3 linked regions of the Styela clava genome follow. The protein of the gene in region 3 purifies or fractionates together with the protein of the main gene of each other region. This does not show direct contact. Links are inferred from orthologs where the notes say so. Each region holds a gene or a part of one and is shown on either strand. Other genes may lie near its edges.

What was found. Proteins that work in one complex are often made in the same cells at the same time.
Region 1: the proteins of lethal(2) giant larvae protein homolog 1-like (region 3) and partitioning defective 6 homolog beta-like purify together in Drosophila melanogaster (affinity purification with western blotting; 5 studies listed by BioGRID, with this or other methods). This does not show direct contact. The link is inferred for Styela clava from reciprocal best matches to the Drosophila melanogaster genes l(2)gl and par-6.
Region 2: the proteins of lethal(2) giant larvae protein homolog 1-like (region 3) and protein kinase C iota type-like purify together in Drosophila melanogaster (affinity purification with western blotting; 6 studies listed by BioGRID, with this or other methods). This does not show direct contact. The link is inferred for Styela clava from reciprocal best matches to the Drosophila melanogaster genes l(2)gl and aPKC.

Annotation. Positions count from the first base shown.
Region 1 is NC_135250.1:4,770,475-4,778,074, reverse strand, and holds the start of partitioning defective 6 homolog beta-like, read right to left. Parts: upstream 3,097-7,600; 5' UTR 3,021-3,096; coding exon 1,926-3,020; 3' UTR 1-1,925.
Region 2 is NC_135257.1:16,668,551-16,676,397, forward strand, and holds the start of protein kinase C iota type-like, read right to left. Parts: upstream 3,097-7,847; 5' UTR 3,019-3,096; coding exon 2,341-3,018; intron 1,718-2,340; coding exon 1,571-1,717; intron 653-1,570; coding exon 475-652; intron 387-474; coding exon 190-386; intron 1-189. UniProt on the Drosophila melanogaster protein: Serine/threonine protein kinase which is required for apico-basal cell polarity in the germ line as well as in epithelial and neural precursor cells, for epithelial planar cell polarity and for cell proliferation.
Region 3 is NC_135262.1:4,227,932-4,235,014, forward strand, and holds the start of lethal(2) giant larvae protein homolog 1-like, read left to right. Parts: upstream 1-4,036; 5' UTR 4,037-4,140; coding exon 4,141-4,221; intron 4,222-5,051; coding exon 5,052-5,149; intron 5,150-6,148; coding exon 6,149-6,230; intron 6,231-7,083. UniProt on the Drosophila melanogaster protein: Essential for the development of polarized epithelia, for cell polarity associated with asymmetric cell division of neuroblasts during development, and for oocyte polarity formation.

The sequences.
Region 1 (7,600 bases), on a different chromosome or scaffold from region 3:
TGATTTTATTCAGATTTTCCTTCTTTTAGTTCTATTACGAGTTTGGGGACTGTCTGTGCTAGCCAAGCGAATATTCCCCCTGCCCATAGGTTTCAGTCCCTGGATGTAAAGTAGGCCAACAAAATTAGTTACCCCCATATTGGTACACATACTTCTGGAATCTGGAGCACCCATTACTTTATAAAAGATGGATGTCATTTAGAAAACTCAATTAAGAGACCTGATCACATGCTTATACAACACACATGTGCAACTATCATGTGAAACTTGCTTATAAAGGTCACACAGAATTATAATAATGTAATACTATTAAATCACTACGCAATCCTATTTACTTAATGCAATTTTCCAATTTGTTTGAAAAATAAAATGCTAATGACTGAGGTAGATAACAAACGGCTAATTAGGTTTGAATTACTTTTTTTTGTAATCACTAATAATGATAAATAATTTTTAGCTAATGTGGAATTATACATTTTACCACTCTCAATAATCTTGCATTAATGATGATTCATGTTGAGGGAGTCAATATTTAGAAATATACTTCAAATTTGACATGAAAGCTTTTTTTCCAAAATATACCGGTACTTGAAATTTGATTATGAAATTTTTTGTCTCAACGCTTAATCTAAATTTTAATCAATTAATCTTTAGCCAAACTATTATTATAATTTCCATGATTAAAATGGAATAAAAGAAGAAAAACCGAATGAAACAACATAACAAAATTATGAAAGGTAATTATAACCAAAAAATTTGATATTTAATTTTGAAGTACAATTTTGACAACAACAGATCTGGATACTCCCATAGTATGTGTACCAGGTTGGGGTTAGGCTATAATTTTATTCCGATTTTTCTTTTATTAGTTCGATTACGAGTTCGGGGACGGTTTGTGTTAGCCAAGTGAATATACCCCTTACCATAAGTTTCAGTCCCTTTACACAACTTGATGTAAAGTAGGCGAACAAAATTAGTTACCTCCATATTGGTACACATACTTCTGGAGCGCCAGATCTGAGCAGCAAATCTAGCATGAGCAGGGGTTGAAATAGAGCTCATAAACCGAGATTTGAGGAACTCCTATTTGCTTAAATTGAGTGATATATTTTGATAATTAAGTAAAATTGGTAGAATAAAATATTGGCCAAAACGTCTATAGAGGAATAACAACACTTTGAATAGATAATTCAGCACCTACAAAACAATATAATAAAGTGGAATTCCATATTTGTCAAGATAATTGAAAAAAAAACTACAAATAATTTAAAGAGAAAAAACGCACTCTTATGGATTTATCAACTGTGGAATGGGAAGCAACAAAGATTTAAAAGAGTCCACACACGACGCTACACGATTGTATCAATTCTTCAAAATCATTTCGTATTGTCCATTATTTACTATTTATTGGGTTTCTGTGGGACCAACTACTCATCTTCCTCCTAATCCTAATGCTGTAGTAAGAGTGAAGACAACTTCAAATTGTAATATTTGGTTGAGGATAATCGCGAATACTCAGTTTATGCAATTATTTTCAAGCTGATAATACATCTTGATGATTTTTTAAGTCAACCTCAAATGTTCAATCACACAACGCATGATACAATCTGCATCCTAATTGCGAGCACACTGGGCTTATAGTTAATAATTTGCTGGGAATGTACCGTGAGAAAAACTATTTTTCAGTGAAATTCGAATTTTTGAAAAAGCCAATCAATTAATTTTTATGATTGATCAAAAATTAGGTTTTTTGTAATTATTCCCACACATATATGTAACCAATAAATTACTGGTATAAGTAAGTGAATCCGTGCTACCTATGGATTATAATCATAATAAACATAATAAAATGGAAAAATTGCAAAAAGCCGTTTTGGCAAAACATTTACCCAAAATAACATGGGATGATACGGCGATGCAAATACCTACAATGTCAGATCATTTTGAGTGTTAATTTGGCTTCTACGTTTAGCCTTTACTGAGTCTCTACCATGTTTGTGCCCAACTCTCGGCGACTTTTTTGGAGACGGTTGCGTAGAATTTGAAGCTTCAGTTTTATTAGGTACAGATTGAGGAGAAGAGTGCTCTTTGCCTTGTTGGGTCGTATTTATTGAATAAATCTTTTCGTTTTGATGTCGTGCACTGTTGCTTTTTGGTTTTTGGTCATGCTTCGATGCAGGAGTGATATCTTTTACAACATCCTGATCATCGTCGGATTCTTCTTCATGCCTATGTCGTGGAATATCGTCGTAAGAACGAGCCCGAGAAGGCGGCTTTATCCCTGCGACTGCATTTCTCATACTTGCAGGCTTGACGGTGATAATCAAATTAGAACTATTCGCCACCATCATGTCTGTGACCTGATCTAACGTTTTCCCCATCACTTCGATGCTGTTTACTTCTAAGACTTCATCATTGACTGCTAATAAACCAGTCATTTCTGCCAGACCACCTTGTACTAATCTAGATATAAAAATTCCAGGCACTTTTTCAAGTCCGTTATTCGTCATACGTAAGCTCACACCGTCGCGGATATAAAACCCTAATGGCTTGTCTGAACCATGCTTATGAAGCCTCACCCGACGTAAGGTTTCTGGTAGAATATCCACATCGATGATTGCGGAAACCGGACGAAAATCTTCTGGATAACTTATAATTGGTGGTAATTTTTTTCCTTTCTTTTTTCTAACAGTTGATTGGCCAAAACCATTTTGTAAGTTAAAAGTCTCTCGTTTGTGAATATACAGTCTTAGCAAAGTATTTGACGTTTTTTTCGCTTTTGCAAAATTTTCATCGTTATTTATTGGCAACAAATCACCATGAAGTGGGTCGGTGTAAGTCACAATAAAATCGACGTGATGAATTTGATGAAGTGATTCGATTCTTTGATGTAAATCTTGAAATTTGTCTTGTTCTGGATCAAGATGAAATCGTCGAAATTCAGCTAGAAATTTGCTTTTTACTTGAATTAAATTCCCAGCTGGAGAAGACCCAGCAGAGCCTAAGGATGATTTATCCATTTCATTAATTATTAGTTTAACTTTGTACACAAAAATGTCACAACATGTTGGTAGATGTCTGAAACACAATTAAACATAAAATTTACCAAGTGAGAACCAGTAGACTGTACACAAGATAAAAAAAAGAGTCCACTTTAATAAAATTTGATGTCATCCTAACCCAGGGAATAACGATTTAACCGTTGACTGAAACTCAATTGGGTATAAACTTGGCCACAACTTAATAAACATACGAAATAATAGTATAATTTGATATCTGAATCAAAGCTACTAATCATAAAATTTAAGTTAGAAGCAGATTAGACAACTGCTTGAATATTGCGAAACAAAAATATGATATAAAAATACAGCCAAATTTTTTTAGTCATTCTCAAAGTCTGTCTCGCCCAGAACGCTATAGACGGTGACCGTACATTTGAACCCATGTACATTTGAACCCATGCGTATATCCACGGGTTCAATCTATATGCGGGTGCTAAAACCCATGGGTTAGGGTTAGTATGGGTTTAACTATCCGTGAAACAAAAAAAATTTCATAGGTGAAATAGCATACAGGTGCAATTGTCATGGGTTCAAATGTACGTGGGTTCAAATGTAATGGAACCCTATAGACTACCCTATTTGGCATGAGTCATAACTGCTCAGTTGAATATTGGGTAGGTTTGATTTCAACTAAACGAATTGCCTTCCGCGCCAAACCAACTTTTTTTAGAAAAACATTACTTCAGTACTTCGTCCTTTTATTAATTAATTCAGTATTTTTACAACTTTTAACGTTGTTATTGAATATGCACATAAATATTGAATGTTATCGTGTTATTGCGTAAAATCCTAAATTATTTTTTATATTTTTTGCTGGCTAAAGACTTAGCGAACATGTTTGGTTATTTTTCTTTTCAAAATTCACAAAAGGTCATTATTATCATGGTTTACAGTCTCAAACTATAACCAGCGTACATCAGCAGCCTATCAGTACAGCACTACAGCAGTATAAAAATCTTGGGTCTCTTGTAGTTTTGTACCTATATCGTTTTTCTAGTGGACGTAGCGTAACTATTTTTTGATATGTCAATCCTAACCCCCATCTGACTACGTCGTCTAAAATTACGTCACCACGACGTCACAATCTTATCATAAAGCTTGCAGAATAGACGTACAATCGCCCGAAATGGCATCAACGCCGCTGATAAAAAGCTGACTAACATCATCATTCTCTCTCATATTGGGATCATGGTCGCGACAAGAAAACGAGAGAAATAGCTGTTCGATTTCGGATGCTCGTCTGCCGTTCTTAGATGACTGTTCGTATAATTCATTAATTTTTGGATGGTGTAGTTGATGGGTTAGGATTGACACGTGCAAAATTTGTTATATTACGCCCATTATAAGTACGTTAGGTACGAAACTAGCTGAGACCCAAAATCTTAATCTCAGACAGAAAGTTGAAATATCTAACTTCGGGTCTGGCGAAATGAACGACATGACTCCTTAAACAGTTAAATAACATCAAAAAATGGGATTGCTTGAAACTTGCTGCTGAAAAACTGCTTGAATAACGTCAAACAGAAATGTGATATGAGATTTTTATGATTTCTAAAAAAAATCTGTCTGGCACAAAATGAAATTTTTGACAGACGTGCTTCGTTAAAATCAAACCCACTCAATTTTCAAATACTGAACTAAGCACAGAACAGCAGAAGCAGGTACCGGTATGTTCCAATGCCAAATTCAGAAATAGGGTTAGCCGCTAGAGACCGACTTTCTGACTTTTGATACCGTTCTGGTATTTGGAATAAAATGAAAATTTGGGCATTATTTTCACATCATACTTTTGTTTGACGTTATTTGGGAGTTACGGTGTGTCCTTCTTCATATACATACCCCTAGTTACCGGTACGGTGTGTTCTTCTTTCAGTCTTTAGATCCCAACTAACAACTTCAACTAACGAAGAGCAAAGAGAGAATTCGAGAGATATTTCCGAACAGTTTTCTCTATATCCTGATATCTGTATATAGACCTATCCCTATCCTTATACAGGGTACATGAAACTAAAAAAATCGCACCAAAAAAGCGGGACCCGAGACGTATTGTTACCCCAAAAATGCAGCCCACTGAGTAAACCCCACCTTTTCGCACATCGCCATCTAGTGAAAATGTGGGTGTGTCATGCTCCGGTGACTAAAGAGTGGTGTATTGAATATCATCTCGAATGTGATGACGAAAAAGAAAGAAAAGCCTATTTTCATGATTATAATGTGATAAGACTGTTCAAAGTATGATGCATTCATACAAAGACTTTGGTAACGGTTGTCTATGCGAAATACCATACCTGCATACGGTGACAATATCGATATCGAATATTTATGATGACGGTTGAGATAAAACTACAACTACTAGTATTGAAAAGAAGAAAAATAGGCACTTTTCATATTTATTCTATCGTGTCCCAGTTTTATTTCAGTTTTGTTCCGAAAAGTAACACCAGCGCTTATTTTCGGTTGATGTCTCATATTTTCAGTTATCAAAAACAAAATTACAACATAGAAAGTTACGAGATTTTCAAATATACAAAATATGAAAACCGAAATACATTTACCCATAAATACCAAGTTTTTATTCGGAATAGCTGCAAACCATATTTTATGAATTATTTAAAACGTGAAGGAGAGATTTAACTGCTATCGACTTATATGCATGATTTTATTTTCGGGGTAGATCTTATTTTCGGGGAAACACGTATATATAAAGGGAGGAAAGTTTATTTTATGGGGAAAATGCCGGGAGTACAACTGAGTCGTTATATCTACTATATTATTAATAAAAGTTCTCGTATTTTGGAACATACTGAAAATTGAAGCTCTGTAGGACGGGCGTCTCTGCGGTTCAGAAATTTGTGAGAAATTCTTCCACGGGAGGGAGATAAATATTCGTTTTCAAAACGAAGAAAATCGCCAACTCGGGTAATTCTAGATTTAAATCACAAAATTCCAAAAACGTTGAAACGCTATATATAACGAATTACCACTGACAATTTGCCGTTTGGAATACCATTGCAGGTGGAATAAATTTCTTTGAATATCAAGTTGTTAGATACATTTTTTTTGAATTAAATACCAGGCCGTCCAGTTATTTCTCTACCATTACCTCCTCACTTGGATGGTCCCCGCACTCGTAATATAACTAAAATTGGAATGAAATTATGGCCTAACCCTAACTTGGTACATATTCTATGTTCCGATGTCCGCCATCTTGGTTCACATACTGGAGCGCCATTTTTTATCACTAATATCAAAATATCTACCTAGATCTCCCCCTAGATTTGGAATCCCTACCCCAACCCCCTAAAATGAAAATCTGGGGGAGCATACTGGTTACGTCGAGTGAGGCTTCACACCACACACCTTTCTGCATTCAGAGTTTTATATCCGCGATGGCGTGGGCGAATGAGTTTACGATACGTTAAATAACAGACTTGAAAAAAGGCTTGGAATTTTTATATCTGGATTCGTACAAGGTGGCCTCGCAGAAATTTGGTACATATGATTTAAATAAATAATATTTAATCATCTTTTGTCCAATCCTCCGCTAAAAAGTAAGATCATGTTCTCTCATTATCTTAATCACGGACAATCGACTCGTAAAAAATGTAAAGTTATTGCACAGGACCTCCTGAAGTATACGCACCAAGATGGCGCACAACCTGAACTCACGACACGGTTATGCGACATCTTGGCGCGCATACTTCAGGAGTACCCAATTATCGCTAGCCGGTGGGAATGGAAATATCCAGTCAAAGGACCATAGAACCTATTATCCTATCATATAGGCGGGTGAATCGTGTTATTATGTGAAGTCGTGATTGCCACGTTTGGCTGTCAATCTAGACACCTGTTGGTCATTATAGCGAGGAAGTTCCATGTAATAGCTTACACCCTCTACTTCTAGCAAGTCTGTGCGGAAACCTGAGAATATGGTCTGTTGCAAAATTTCTAAGGACACAACACGGTAACAGGAAATAAGGATATTCGACAACCGCCATATTTTTCTGTGTACACAAGAGAAGATAACTTTCAATTGCTTCAGCTATCTGTATCCAATATGAACCAAATTCCCAAAATCAATTGTCGCTTTCAATTTGTTTTTCCACGTACCCGAAAGTAAATAAAGGAGGGTGAAATGGATAAATCTATATGAAACTTATGCGTGTTTACTTTAAGTGGTATTTAAAACAACAACTACAGAACACACCAGTCTCCTCTCAATCAAACACAACCAAATACTATATGAAGTAACATTTACACGATAAAAAGTTTATTGCGGTTAAAAATGTTCAACCTTTGAATTCATTACCGCAAATTACTCTGAATAATATAAGTGATTTCATGTTTGTGTTCACAAATCTCTTATTCACAGGCTGCTCGAACTTGATGCTATTCTTCATTAAGCCTTTTTCTCTGCAAGAAAAAAAAATAGTTTTAGTTACAACAGCATATAAAATTTCCTTGCTATGATCAGTTTAGCTTTGACATATGACGAATTAAGCATAAAAGTAAAGCCTTCTTACTCAATTTTATTAGAT
Region 2 (7,847 bases), on a different chromosome or scaffold from region 3:
CGTAGCTAACAGAAATTTTAGTTGACATACCACAAAGTGCCTGTAATTGTAAACATTTTACTAAGCAATATCTGGATTCTGGGGATGCATTATATTATATACGGGCGAAAGAGCTCAGAAATGAAGCATAGACATACATTAGGATTGTAATAACTTTCACTCGCATATTATAGTATGAGAAAATCTGACCTGGAACAAATAATCTTCAGTGTTTTGATCAGGGTTATCTGCCATACCAACAATATCAAATGGACTTCTTCCTGCCATCATTTCAAACATGAGTACTCCAAGTGCCCACCAATCAACCGAGAATGAATAGTCTTCTCCCCGAAGGATCTCGGGAGCAATGTAATTTGGAGTACCACAAAAGGTAGACGTCTTGTCACCTATAAAAAGTATACACTTAAAAATCCTGTTAAACATGATTTGTAGACAAGCAAGAATAAATAGTGAGAGAAATTATCGTAAATGTACCTTTCAAAATTCCTTCTTTACACATGCCATAATCTGTCAGTTTTATGTGACCTTCGCTATCAAGAAGAACATTATCAAGTTTTAGATCTCTATAAATAATGCCTTTTTCGTGCAAGAAATGTAATGCAAGCACTATTTCTGCAGCATAGAAACGAGCATGATCTTCTGGAAGTTTTCTCTGAAATATAAAAATGTTTTATAAACATTCAAGTGAAGCCTATCAGCTATCATTTATAAATGAGTCGCTCGTTTAAATCTTATTTCGAGTTTTGGAAACTTATTCAAATTGCCATCCTGTGTGTTTGAAACCGCATGATTGTTCTTTTCTTGTCATTGTTGTAAACTGCTTGTATGAGAAAGTCTAATTTTAGTCGGACGAATCCTTACAGAAATACATTTGTGTGCACCGGGACTCTTGAATCGCGTATAGCTGGGTGTTTATTTCGAGCAGTGGCAGAATTCAAAATAAATTATCCAGTCTTATCAATTCCATGGCACATAATGCTAGGTTACACCAATCATTAGGAAGCAAAGATATGTTAAATAACTTGCAAAGATACATCCAAGATTAATAAATTGAGTATTTATTTATTATCAGTTAGAAAGAAAGATCTAGTGTGGCTTTAGAACAGATTTCATCTACAGTCTGATAAAAACCATGAAACACCATCAAAAATCAATGTCTTTTAGAACTAAATTCAACTGCATGATGCATAGAAGTAAAAGAAAACAATAACACCACTTTGAACAAACTTAACAATATTGTACTACTTTTGATATATTAAATAAACACGTTAACGAGAATATCAGTCAGAGACCGAAGACTTATCGCTTGAAAGTTAGGGGATCCCCCAAAACAGCGCTCTTACTCCATAGTGACACCTTGTGTCTCATCACTAAATAATTAATTAAACTCGCTAATTATACCACATAATTCATCCAAAATCAATAGGATTCTGGTACGACATATGATGAATGCACATGCAAAATCTGGAGCAGATTCAATCTCGCTTTCATGAGATATCGCGTGCATGTAACAGACAGACAAATACCTATCAACATACTTACCGATTAAAATCGATAAGTAATAACTGACCTGTCTTTGCATGTGAAACATAAGGTCCCCTCCATTCACATATTCGATAACAAAAAATAGGCGATCAGCTGTTTGAAAACATGAATGCAATCCAACAAGAAATGGGTGGTTTGAAGCAGTTTCAAAAACATGTTTTTCAGTTTGTACCTGAAAAAATAGAGAATAAGAAATTTTTCAAAAAATAGGCTTGATAAAAATCACTGGTAAATGAGAATTGAACATCTGAATGTTATAGTAACAGGGCCAATGAGTTGGTTTGAAATGGCTCCAGCTACAGCAACGAAGCCTGATCTTTTTTTACCTCAGAGCTGGGTTACATACAGGACAGCTCGTTTTTTTGATGTGACCATGAACCCTCACCATGAACATCAGCCCAAATGCAGTTTCGCTGCAGTGGGACTCAAAAATTTGTATGGTAGATTAAAATTTGAAATTTCGAATTTTAAACTTCCAATTATACAACTTTAACTGAAAAGTTTCAAAATTATGAAAACAAATATTGAAAAAAATCATAACCAAAAAACATAAAAAAAAGAAGAAAATTAAAAGTATGGAACAAGAATTAGATGGTTGGGAGCTGGAGCTGCTAGAAGTTTTAGTTGTTTGGTGTTGTTAAGGTAAGCTTGGCTCTAGCTCCAACAAAATGTAATGGCTCCATCGCTGGTTAGTCGAATATTCGAAACAGTTAGAAGAGCTGAACCTGGAACCCTACTTAGTTATATCAATAAACACATTAATGAAAATTTGAACATAAAATATTGAACATTTACCCAGTCGACATCTTCTTCATCAGTGACAAGCTCTTTCTTTATAACTTTCATCGCATAAAGTTTTTTACTTTTCTTCAAACTCACAAGAAGTACTTTAGCATAACTTCCTCGACCAATAACTCTCAACATATCAAAATCTCTCAAACCAAAGCCAGACGTTGTCCTCGATGTCGCATGCACTGCCTCACCACCTGTACCAGTGGCAGGATTGTAATGAACCCTTTGAGCCTCCCCCTCTTGAATATGCACAGAACCAGGATCATCAGTAGGATTGGAAATCGGAATTCGTGGACGACGTCCTTTTAATTTCTTCAACCTACGCTTTAGTTTGTACCATCTTCTTGCCCCACGACGATAAATTTTATGTTCGCCCACACATTGAACCCCGGGCTCAGGAGGTATTCCTTGAAATATATGAAGAAACAGAGTATCATCCTCATTTAGCTCATACAGTCTTAATGCTTCATCCAACTCCAGTTGAGATGTTACTGTACACAGATCACCTTCCTCGTCTAACCATTTCAAAGTGAAAAGTTGAGCATCTGAGAATCCACAATTAACTCGGATTTGCACCCATAATTCATCCATTCGTATTTGTGGATCGAGGTTCAGGTTCAAAATTTGATTTTGATACGCTAATTTTGAACGTACCATTAAATGTGAGGTATCAACAGACATGGTCAAGTTTTGAATGTAATTGATATACAATGCTAATTACAATTTTCGGATTTTAAATTCATACTAAAACATAAAATATGAATAATGAACTCTAATAGGATAGCCTACCGGTCTGCCGGTACATTTAAAGCTATCCCGGCTGTCTTCATTGACCATATTGTCATCGAGAATTCATGCGCATAGCCTATTCTCTGTTCAAATATCGGGTTCAGTTCGAAAAATAGCAAGGAATAGACGTTACCGATGCCAGTACAAATAATTCGAATTTAGACTAATTAGTATTGGTTTTACATGCGATACCGTACGTTTTCTAACAATGTTAGGGGGAAACAACGGAACAAACGCATTCACCCTCAGTACAGCAGTAAGTAGGCTAGCTCTGCGCTACACAGAAACAACAGTAACCAGAACATGTTCTTGTATTATGCTGGATGGCTGAACGCCAACTTTTGGCTAATTTGTCGGGACAAGACGCTAAAAAACGGCCTAAAGCGGGACGTATGTGTATATTATATATACGCTTTGGGTAAGCCTACTGACCTGTCTGCCTGTGTACGTTAACGTACCGGTCCAGGAAGAGTTAATTTTGTCCGACCTGATCCAAATTTATCGTGAGAACTGGAGACACAAAAAGCCAGACACGGAGGATTTGTCATAATATATTGATATAGCACTATAGCACTTCCAAGTTCCAGTGGGTGTGGCCTATAACCTACATCTTGCCGACCCCCTCTCTGAGATAGGAATCTCAATGAAATAAACATATATTTCGCATTCCCCTAGCTCCCTCTACCGATACCTCTATTAGCAATTGTTCATAACCAACCCATATATGTTTTCGTTTTGCTGACTTAGACTTTGAAACTACTTAAATTGAACATTCTAGAATCAAAACATGTTAATGCTTATATTAAAAGCTACCGATAGTCACTGGGTCAAAATTAATAAAATAATTTATGGTGTCATTCTGCCCGTACGACACCGCGATTGGTAGCCTTCTCACCGAAACAGAAGCACAAGTATAACAATTAAATATAGATAGGATAGGATTTACATATTTATCCCGGGGGAGAGGTAAGCCGATAAGACGGCTTATCCATATGGCGAACCACGGCCTCTCGTCCGGTTACCATTCAAAGTCGGGTATGGGATTAGTTATATTGCTTGTTTTCGGAAGCATGTACTTGGTGGTGGAGGAAGCCGTAACCGACCAGCGGTTACGTGAACCACCCAACGACGGCGAGGAGTCCAGCAATCCTCTCGCACATAACCATCCTTGCATGGAATTCGAACCTGCGAACCCACGCAGAGTAATTAGAGGTGCGGTGGCGAGCGTATTCCTAACGCTTAGCCCGTTGAGCCACACCGCCGCGCATTACATCACATTAGCATCTGTCTATTTGCACTTGGAACATTTGTAATGTCACTTCGTAACCTTCATGTTTTTCAGACATAGACATTTTCACCCGCGCTCATTCGCACCCATACGGTCGCCGTTTGGACCCAGGGACATATGCTGATATAAGATCTAAATTGCAATGTTATAGAATCAGGATGTCTATCTATCCCTCAAAACAACAATACTTGAGAGTGAAAATGGCCGTGTGCGCAAATGCACACAAGTGCTAATTCATAGATTTGTGACCTTTTTACGACGCTCACTCACGACTTTCGCTCAGACGGCTTCCTCCGCCACCAAGTCCATGAAACTGAAAACAAATAACTAATTCCATACCTGACTTGGAATGGTAACCTGACGAGAGGCCGTCGTTCGCCATATGGTTTAGTCGTCTTAGCGGATTTCCTCTCCCCCGGGATAAATATGTAAATCCTATCCTATCCTACCATGGCCTGTACGTATAATATGATAGTATTTTGAGATATATAGGAAAGTAGAACAGTTTTCCTCTGTGTTAAATGTTAGTATGTCGTACAGAATTCCTTTCAAATATTAGTGATGGTGGGCTACGGTATTTGGATAATGATATAAGATTAAACTTGACGTTTGATATTCAAAATCGCTGCCTAATTGATATTCACTTTGGTCGTTGCCAAATTGACTATAAACATGGATTCCATACCGTCCTTAATCCTTATTTCTAAGGTTTGTCCTTATTTTTGGCTTATTTTTAGCTTGCGTCCCTATTTTTGGCTCGCGTGTCCTTATTTTGTCTTATTTGGACTTTATAAAGGAAGCTTTGTGTTGTTTGTCTTATCGCCAAAGCTTTATTGCGGAATCATAAAAGCAAATAATCATATTTGGAACACAAAGCAGCAAGGCACAGATAGGCATGAAGCATTGTTAGTGTGGCGATCTTTAGGTTTTGTCGTGGTGGTGGATATTTTAGCCTAAATTTAAAAATGAGCAAACGTAAGAACGTTTTTCGTGAATACGGGAAAGAATTCAAAGTTAAACGAAGCTTGAAGAGTGAGTGCTTCGCATACTGTGACGTCTGTATTTGTAACATTAACCTGGAGCCCATAGGAAAGCCAGCTATTTCTGCTCACAATGCAGAAATTTTTCCAGTCGTCCTTATTTTGGGTTCCAGATCGATGGAATCCCTGACTATAAATCAAGTGAGAACATGCATTGGTAACGTTATGAGCGATTGCGCGACGACACATCCGCCATTTTGTGTCCAGAGATTTATCGTTGTATGATCCTAACCTAACCAAGAGATTTAAACCTGCGATCGTTAAACATTTGATTAAAAGAAAACGATGCTCAAAAATTCGGACCAAACTTTCGCAGCGGCGAAACGAATGAACATTTTCCCGAAAAACTAATTTTCCGCAGATGTTTCTCAGATAACTCGGCTCGGGCGATATGGTCAGCAGATACGGAGTTAGGATTAAAGTTATCCAACTTCACTCGATAAATCAACACCCAATAAGACCAAAAATATAAAACAAAGAGATAAACATTTTATTATAAAAAATCCTGATGTAAGTATTGCTACTTGCACAGAACTTATTTTAACAAACTGGCAGAACTACAAACAAATTACACTACAGAAACATGCAACTATTAGTAAGGTAGGCTACATGTCATATTATTAAAATATGCGTATCGCAAATTTTCAACAAGGTGTTTATTGCCCAAATATATTAAAAAAATAAACTACATGCATGGAATGAAGGATAACGGCATATATCAAGGTTACAAGAAAATCTAATAATCTGGAGTGTATAACATAATATATTATTTATTTGACTTGATCTCCTCTTTTGAGTGAATATTTATTTGTCAGAAAAGTAACTGGCGAACATGTATATATATATTATGAAAGGCATTAATATTGGCGCGAAATATAGAATTTCTTTTTTTGGATGGGTTATAGCATAAATGGGTTGTTAAGTAGATGAATGTGATGTTATCATATATTGCTATTTCGTAGATTGTCTCAGAACTTGAAAGTCACCCGTTCACCCTTCAGCTTCAACGCCCACGTGAATGAAGATGCGTTAAAAATCTCTATATGTTTTTATTCGTAAATTTCCACAACACACAGAATATAAATCTTATAACATTTATCCAGACTAGCTTAGAATGGTTTACATCGTCTTCTCTTCTCCCTATCGAAAGATATCGGAGTCGTATTTATACGTTGATCATAAATCCAATTAAATGCTGTAAACGTGAGCTCGTGATTCACGTTATAAACAGAAATTCCTATTATCTCAACAAGGGTAATTAGGTACATCGTACGGATGGGAACTTAGATATAATTATTTCAATCAGTGCCAAAGGTCTTGAGAATATAGATTTTAATTTGATAATGACTGGATGGAACCTGTTATGTTCTTAAACCTGGTGTAATTTGATTCCTACGAAAGTCTTTGTTCGAATTTTGGGAAAAATTAACTTTGTTTTCATATTTTTAACATGAAATGGGGTACATTTGGGGGTTAGTTGCTATATTATCTCCCCATCTTACTAACTGGAAGTTTAAAGATTTGGCACCTCTAATAAATTGAAAATATATAGAAAAATACAATACACAATGCTAAAATTAATGATATATATAGGTCAAAAAAATATTTACATGTATATGATCTACAATGAGACAACACATTGAAGTAAAGAAAAGTTTATAGAAAGGGTAAAGGTTGTAAAGTAGAATTACAGAAGGATGGCGTATTTTTATTTTGAAAATTTTGGTTTGGACGGTTAAAACATATTTTCAATTCAATGTATTTCGCTAAGTTAAAATGCTTATACTCGCTTTATCGCATTGTTACGATTTTGTAGACCTAGTTGGTCAATATATGCTTGTCCCATGTCGGGAAGAAAAAAACGCATTTTTAAGTTTATGCCATCTCAGGGCTTTTTTGAAAAAATAACGCTTTTGGATACAATTTTTGTTTAACGAGCTTATTATTTAACCGTTCTATATGACGGCTTTGTAAATAATTAAAAGTATGACTCGCTCGAATCTACTTTTAGAGAGCATTTTAATAATAACGAAATCTATTTAATCGAAAAAGAATGCTAACCACAAATATTCAATAATATAAATCTCTTTAAAGGTATTTGAAATTAGAATATTCAAAGTTTTACCATTAATTAATTTATAAAAATTGAAAGCCGAATGAAACGCCATGTATATATAAGAAAAAGAAGTACTTTACCTTAGTATTAGTGGAAGAATGAAAAATGTCTGTCTCAATGAGGAGAAAAACCTGCAAATCACGAAACAAATTGTAGATTAACATGTTCCTGATCTGTATATCCATTAGGCATTAGGTATGCGCGACAATTTCTCTATTGTTCGGAATAGAGCGCGTGAATTACCGTAAAACAGTCCATAGAGTTCATTGTTTTCAAC
Region 3 (7,083 bases):
TGGCTTTTAGTTTGATTGTGTCAGAATCAGGCAGGCCAGATTGAATTGCCCAACGGACCGAATTTGGCCCGCGGGCCGTAGTTTGCCCATGTCAGGTTTAAATCATGTATATATGAAATATGATAGTTTCACATTTGTTAGTAAAATGAAGTCGAAAGTACTAGAATGGAATCGGTTCAATAACAGGATATCGCGGTCATCACTTAGTTCGACTAATATTTTAATGGTTCGTATTTACAGGAAAGAGAGTTCCGGTGTCGGGAGTTTTGAAAGAAAATTCTGGGCAGTAATGTAATCGCAAGTGCAATAGTCTAGCAGGTGTTTCCCGGATTCGAAGGCCTTTTCACTCATGTTACATTAGTTTTTGCACCTCCAGAAGTATGTGCACCAAGATGACGCACAGCCTGAACATGGTATGTGTACCAGGTTAGGGTTCAGGTTGTGCGCCATCTTGGTACACATACTTCGGGAGCGGCCGTTACGCTTAGCCATTGGTGGCCAACAAGTCAAAACTAGGAGCCGCATTTGGTACTTTATTACCGCGAAGAGCCGCTATATAAACAAGAACACACATAAACATCAAATATAGCCTACCTTTATTCGGCTCTGCTAGTTGATTGTAAATGTTACAAACCGACATGCTAATGACAAAAATTTACAAGCCATTTATTGGTATGCATGCTACTTAGTGGGACTTCTGGCATTCCTTTGATTGAACAATGCTCTTTAAATTTGGCTAGTATGTCGCTGTAACCAATCGAAGCAGTTTTTTGACATGGGAGTCAGTCAGAACAGATCAATGCTTTGATTTCACGTCTTTTGAGGTAGAAAACACATATATATCCGTAGACATATGTTGACTCAAACTCTGACATTATCCTTAGCGCAGCTCGTTGGACATAGAGTATTTTTCCATTGACATTGCTTTTGCATAAGCCAATGGTCCCTCCCTTTGAAGCGCTTCATCTGAGACTAGAGGGAATTTTAAACAATCCGTCTCAGAATTAAATGAGCTGTCGACCACGTAATCTGTGACGTTTTATCTTCACTTCAATTACTTCGCTCGAATGGTGGACAGCTCGTTTGTCTAAGTGCAGTTTTGGGAAGTTTTGTGGCGTCTGAAGCTGCCGCAAAACCATGACGTAATTTCCAAACCGCTATGGTCATACCACAGCGACTGACTTTTTGATGATACCGGCGAGATGCCGGTACTTTGCTGCCGTAACCATTGAGATGTATATAACACCTCAATGGCCGTAACCATTGAGGTGTGGCCGTATGGCAGGGCTCTTCTTGATAGTGACAAATATTGGGTAAGCTGGAACATTTTTCTTATGGATACAGTTTTGGTGGATTTGGGGTTAGGTTCCAGGTTTAAGTAGGTAAAATTCTTCATGATAAACTAAAAATATTTTTATCGGAACTGCCGTAAAGTTTTGGGAAATTGTATACTACATTGTATGGGCTTGTAAGAAGGTATTTTTGAGCGTGCTTGAAATACGATAATGCACAAATAATAAATCTCTCTCTCTCTCTCTCTCTCTCTCTCTCTCTATTAGTGAAGTACTTTGATGACCGGCGTCATTTACGTCGTTACGCTTGAGTAATCGTTGCGTGATGAGTACGCAAACCGACGATAGACGCCCGCGCCGCTTCTCGCCGAAGGCTCCTGGCAGAAGTGTATGATGTGTACAACGTTTAGACGTTCACAGAGGGAGTTACGTTCGGTACATAGTAGGCATTTTTTTGGATTATAAGTAACTGATACCATTACTTTGCAATAATAACTATTTGAAATTAATGCCCGAGTCTAGATAAAATCTGAAGACGAACAATTACGGTAACAGAATAATGCTTCGTTCAACGATTTCAGATATTTTACAGATTTTACATTTCCAGATTTATAGGGTACGGTAAAAGATTTGCTTTTATTTAGGGGGAGATAAATTAAAAAAATATCTGAGTGTAGCCAAGTCTGCAGGTAAACAGCGTAGCATTTTAAAATACTGAAATAACCCCAGCAAAAATGGGGTCTCGTGAAATAAACGCAGTACCGTAAGTGCTTAGGTAACGCCAAACAAAATGTGATGTGAAAATACAACCCAAATTTTCATTTTTTTTCTAAAAATAAAAGTCCTTCTTTCGCGAACACAAAACCCCTAAACGCATGGGACAAACGGGAGGCGGACAACTCGAGGGTCTGGTATAGTACAGTACCACATGCACTTCTAGTTGGCCTGGTTCAACAATTTTTGCATATGTCAATCCTGACCCCCACCTGACAACGTCACCGAAAAATTTCGTCATTTCGACGTCACAGTGGCGTTATAAGGCCCACCAAAGTATGCGGACGGTCGTACACAACACGCAGACGATCATCCGAAATCGAGCAAGCTATTTTTCTCGTTTTATCTTCACAACGATCACGATAGGAGTGAGATCGCCGGCTTTAGCGAGTTCGTTATCGGCAGCGCAGATGCCATTTCGGGCGATCGTAATTTATACTTTGGCAAGCCATATGACGTGATGGTGACGTGACGTCTAAGTGACGTAATTTATATGGATGACATAGTCAGGTGGTGGTTAGGAATAACTTATGTAAAATTCGGTATGCTATGCCAACTGGAATTACTTGTGGAGGACGGATGGGTCAAGTTCAAAATGGACGATCCACCTTTGCGCATATTCAACGACGACGTTTTGAGACAAGGTTTTAATTTCGATCTTCTTACATTAAAATTTCACATCACATTATTGTTGGGTGTTATTTGAGCAGTTACGGCGTTCATTTTACATCACATTCTTGTTATACGCATTATTCAAGCAGTTACAAGGTTTACTTCACTGGACCCCAAAATGTGATGTGAAATTTTTGGATTTTTTGTAGTTTTGTACCGGTACCTAAAGTCTTAAAGAATGGTACTGTACAGTACTCTGGTCGAAGTAGCATAACGATTTTTGCACTTAGTGATCCTAACCCTATAAAAATAATTCATCATTTATTTATGTACCACTATTACGAGACGAATAAACATACATACATACAACCCCCACCTGACTATGCCATTTAAAAATTATGTCACTACTGCACTACGACGTCACAATCACGTTATACTGTCATAGAGCTTGCCAAAGTACGGTATACCAACGGCCCCCCGAAATGGCATTTGCCCGACGGTGAAGGACTCACTAACGGCAGCGATCTCGGGTCTTGTAAAGTAAACGCTGTAAATGCTTGAATACCCACAAACACAAATGTGGTGTGGAGATGAATGCTATGACTGTATAAGTGCTTCAATAGCGCCAAACAAAAATGTTTTCCTCCATAATGATAATTTTTACTTGTTTATCTTTGAGCTATATTGAATTTCATTTTCAGAAAACAGATAGATTTGACACCTAATATTACAGTACGGCACACTATACAGATCGGGTGACATTGTCTCGTTTCAGAGAAAGCCATTTTACCAATTGTCAGACACCCATCCTTTGGGAGACGTCTGAACATTGTTGTCCCTCAATATCGGTAAAAATACAGTAAAATGAAGTTGCGGAAAATACTACAAAGAAGCGCAATCTAATAACGTCATCATTAAATTCCTAGAAAAAAAATGATCCGATTTACTGAAGAAAAACAATTTTATCGTGGCATTCGAGAGCAAAAAACGGCAATTTTGGTTATGTGACGGCCGTGATTAATTTAGATTATTATTGAGACAAGCATGGCGCGATATGATGCATCTGACGTGGTGCCAGACGACCCTCGTTTGTGAGACGCATTGAGTGTTTATTTTATTGAACCAAATGGAGGAAAATTATTGGAATTTGGATAGTGTGCCGTACTGTATTATAGAAATATCTCTTGCCTGTTACAACTGTCTGACTGTTATCACTCCAATCTGCCAATACTCACTTTAGAGCAGCAATAAATATTTTGAGAGTTTTTCTGATTGGAATGAAATGTTTTGAATTTTTTTATACTCATTTTGGGTTTCAGTGGTTTTAATGTCAGTTTCATTTGTTAATTCTTCAATTTGAATTTTTTGAAATATTTTCAGACTCTGTTTTGTTCAGTTTTTATCTAAATTAAGTAAGAAAAAGTTATTTATCCAAGTTCATTTCATTTTGTCATTCTTCATCATGTTTAAGAAATGGAAGAAAGGTCATCATCACGATCCACAAAGAGAAAAAATAAAAGATGAGCTGTTTGAATTCAAAAAGGTATCTCTATGCATACTATGTTAGTTTAGGATACACCTGACATAGGCAAATTATGACCTGTGACCCAATTCTGGCTTGTTGGGTAAATAATTCTGGCCTGCCTGATGCTGCCACAACCAAACTAAACTAAATTTTGATATGTAAACTGAAAAGTAGCTCGAGGAATTTGTTGAGATTGCGATTAAATTTAGTTTTTGCACAAGGCCTATTGTTTTCCACTTTTGCTGTTGTAATGCTGTAAATATTGTTCATAAAATGTAACTTTTCATTTCACCAGTCTAGTTGGGCAAAATTTGGCCGTGGATTAAAAACCCTGCTGACTCAAAAATTCAGCTAGAATTGAATTTGAAACCAATGATGTTTCCGGAAAGTTAATAAATTTCATGATTCTGTTAAAATTCGTAAAAGAAATTAAACAGTTTGATTCTTCCAAACTGTTAAGATATAAGTATCCATTTGCTAATATAATGTTGAAATGCTATTCCACTTTTTCAAACATTAAACATTTGATAGCTAAAGAGGTTGAAGAAAGTACTGTTTTCTGTTAAAATTTGGCGATTCAATAATACAGTCATGGTTTATATTAATTAAAAAATATGATGTTATTTCTGAATTAAAATTATTTAATGTACAAATGTTGAATTTTTTTTATCGATGAGCATGTTTTGTATTAAAATTTGTCAGAAGATAGTTTTATTATGTGACTCAAATTAACAGAACCCCTAGAAGCTACCAAAGTAGGATTAAATCAGTGTTCCGTGTCACTATAGCCTTACATTATATTACATTGAGTGATGTTTGATAACCTGTAATTTTGAATTATTTTCCAGACGGCTGAGCATGGATTCCCAAACCAACCTAGTGCTCTGGCATTCGATAGGAAGTTAAAATTAATGGCCATTGGATTGAAAAACGGTTCAATTAAAATGTAAGTTTTTTATTACAAAGATAGACTAGGGGTGGCCAGAACTGAATATTCTATCATTCCTTATCTATTACAAAATTAGGGGCTCCCGAAGCATGCGAACCAAGATGGCGGACATCGGAATGTAATATGTGTACTAGGTTAGGGTTAGGCCATAATTTTAGGTATAAATACTACGAGAGGCTCTTGGCTAGTCTTTGAACTGATAATAGGACTAAAATAAGAGAAATTGGAAAAAAATTATCGCCTAACCCTAACCTGTTACCCATGTTACGTTCCGATGTCCGCCATCTTGGTTCGCATACTTCGGGAGCACCCAAAATTATATACAAGTATGAAACATTCTGTATTTGGCCATGTCCACCAAGTGGCAGATAGAAATCAAATGAATATTCAATGTGTTGTAACTGTTTTTGCAGGAAAGTAATTTGATTACTTGCCTTTTTGCAGTTTTTAGAAATTTAAATTTGACTACTCAAATTTTTGAATACCTGTGTACTTGATTCGTTCTAGACATCACTACCTTCAAACTTATTTTATAAGTTTAGTTTCAAGTGATCACTAAGTGGCTTGGGTGGAGGATTCAACAGCCATATTATTTTACCTGATTTTATCATGAGTCAATTTGGTACTCCCGTAGTATGTGTACAAAGTTAGGGTTAGGCCATAATTTCATGCCGATTTTCCTTATTTTAGTTATAATACAAGTTTGGGGACTGTCTGTGTAAGCCAAGTACCTCCTGTCCATAGGTTTTCAGTCCCTTTACACAACTTGATATAAAGTAGGTGAACGTAATTAGTTACCTCCATATTGGTACACACATAAATTTGGTATTTCGAAATAACATGGACATTTCTACCCTGTATATCCTCTTGTCACATGGTTACATCTGATGAACTGTGATAGCAAAAGAAAAACTCACATTTAGTACGAAAATATTCCTTTGTATTTTGATTTCCAAATTTCTGTATCTATTCAAAATCATATTCTTAACATCTCAGATATGGAGCACCAGGAGTTGAATTTACAGGACTTCATGATGACACCAATCAAGTTGTTCAGTTGCATTTCCTTACAGGAGAGGTAGGTTATGGTTTGAATTTGGTCTATGGTTTCGTATATGTAATGGCCACTTTGAAAAGGCATTGTTAATCACCTGACATTTGGAGACTGAAGTCGAATTTAAAATGTTTCTACTAGCATAATGGTTGTAGCTGAGAAGCCGAAACCTCACTTTTTTATCGAAATTTTTCTTCGAGTTAGGAGATGGAGTTATCAAAATTCTTGAATTTATGTTTAAATTTTATCAAGTTGTGTCTTGGAGCCAGAGTATAGCTCGGGGTCTGGTGTAAATTTTCCTCGATTCCAAAGCCCTTAGTGAGATATGTCAATCAAGTATAGTCATATTCATGGCCATAAGAAAAAACAGAATACTTGAACTATTTGGTTTATCAGTTGGGTTAACTACCTTTCCATGCTTCCTCTGTCCCCAATTTCATTTCTCTCTATTGAAAACTAACTAACCCAGAAATTGCTAACCATTATTTATGTACATTTCATCGCGTTTCTTATCGTAGTTGAATAATGCTTGTCAGAGGAAGTCTGACCTTGGTCAGACGAAACGTTACAGAAATACATTCGTGTTAGTGTGCAGCAAGACTCTTGAATTGGATAATTATACTTTTACCTGTATTGCATTTATACCCTTTTTCTTGTTTTTTGTTATCGCAAATTTCAGTATTTTTGCTGCCCGGTCTAATTGGATTGGATTTCTGCCTATTTTCAATTCCAATTTAATAAAGTCAGTTAATTTAGAATCAGGTATTCAAATCATCGTCTAGCTTAATTTCGTTCTTCTTGTTCATATATGTACAGATTGTACCAATTTCATTGAGGTGGATACTGTCTAATGAACTTACATTTACAAAATTTATAA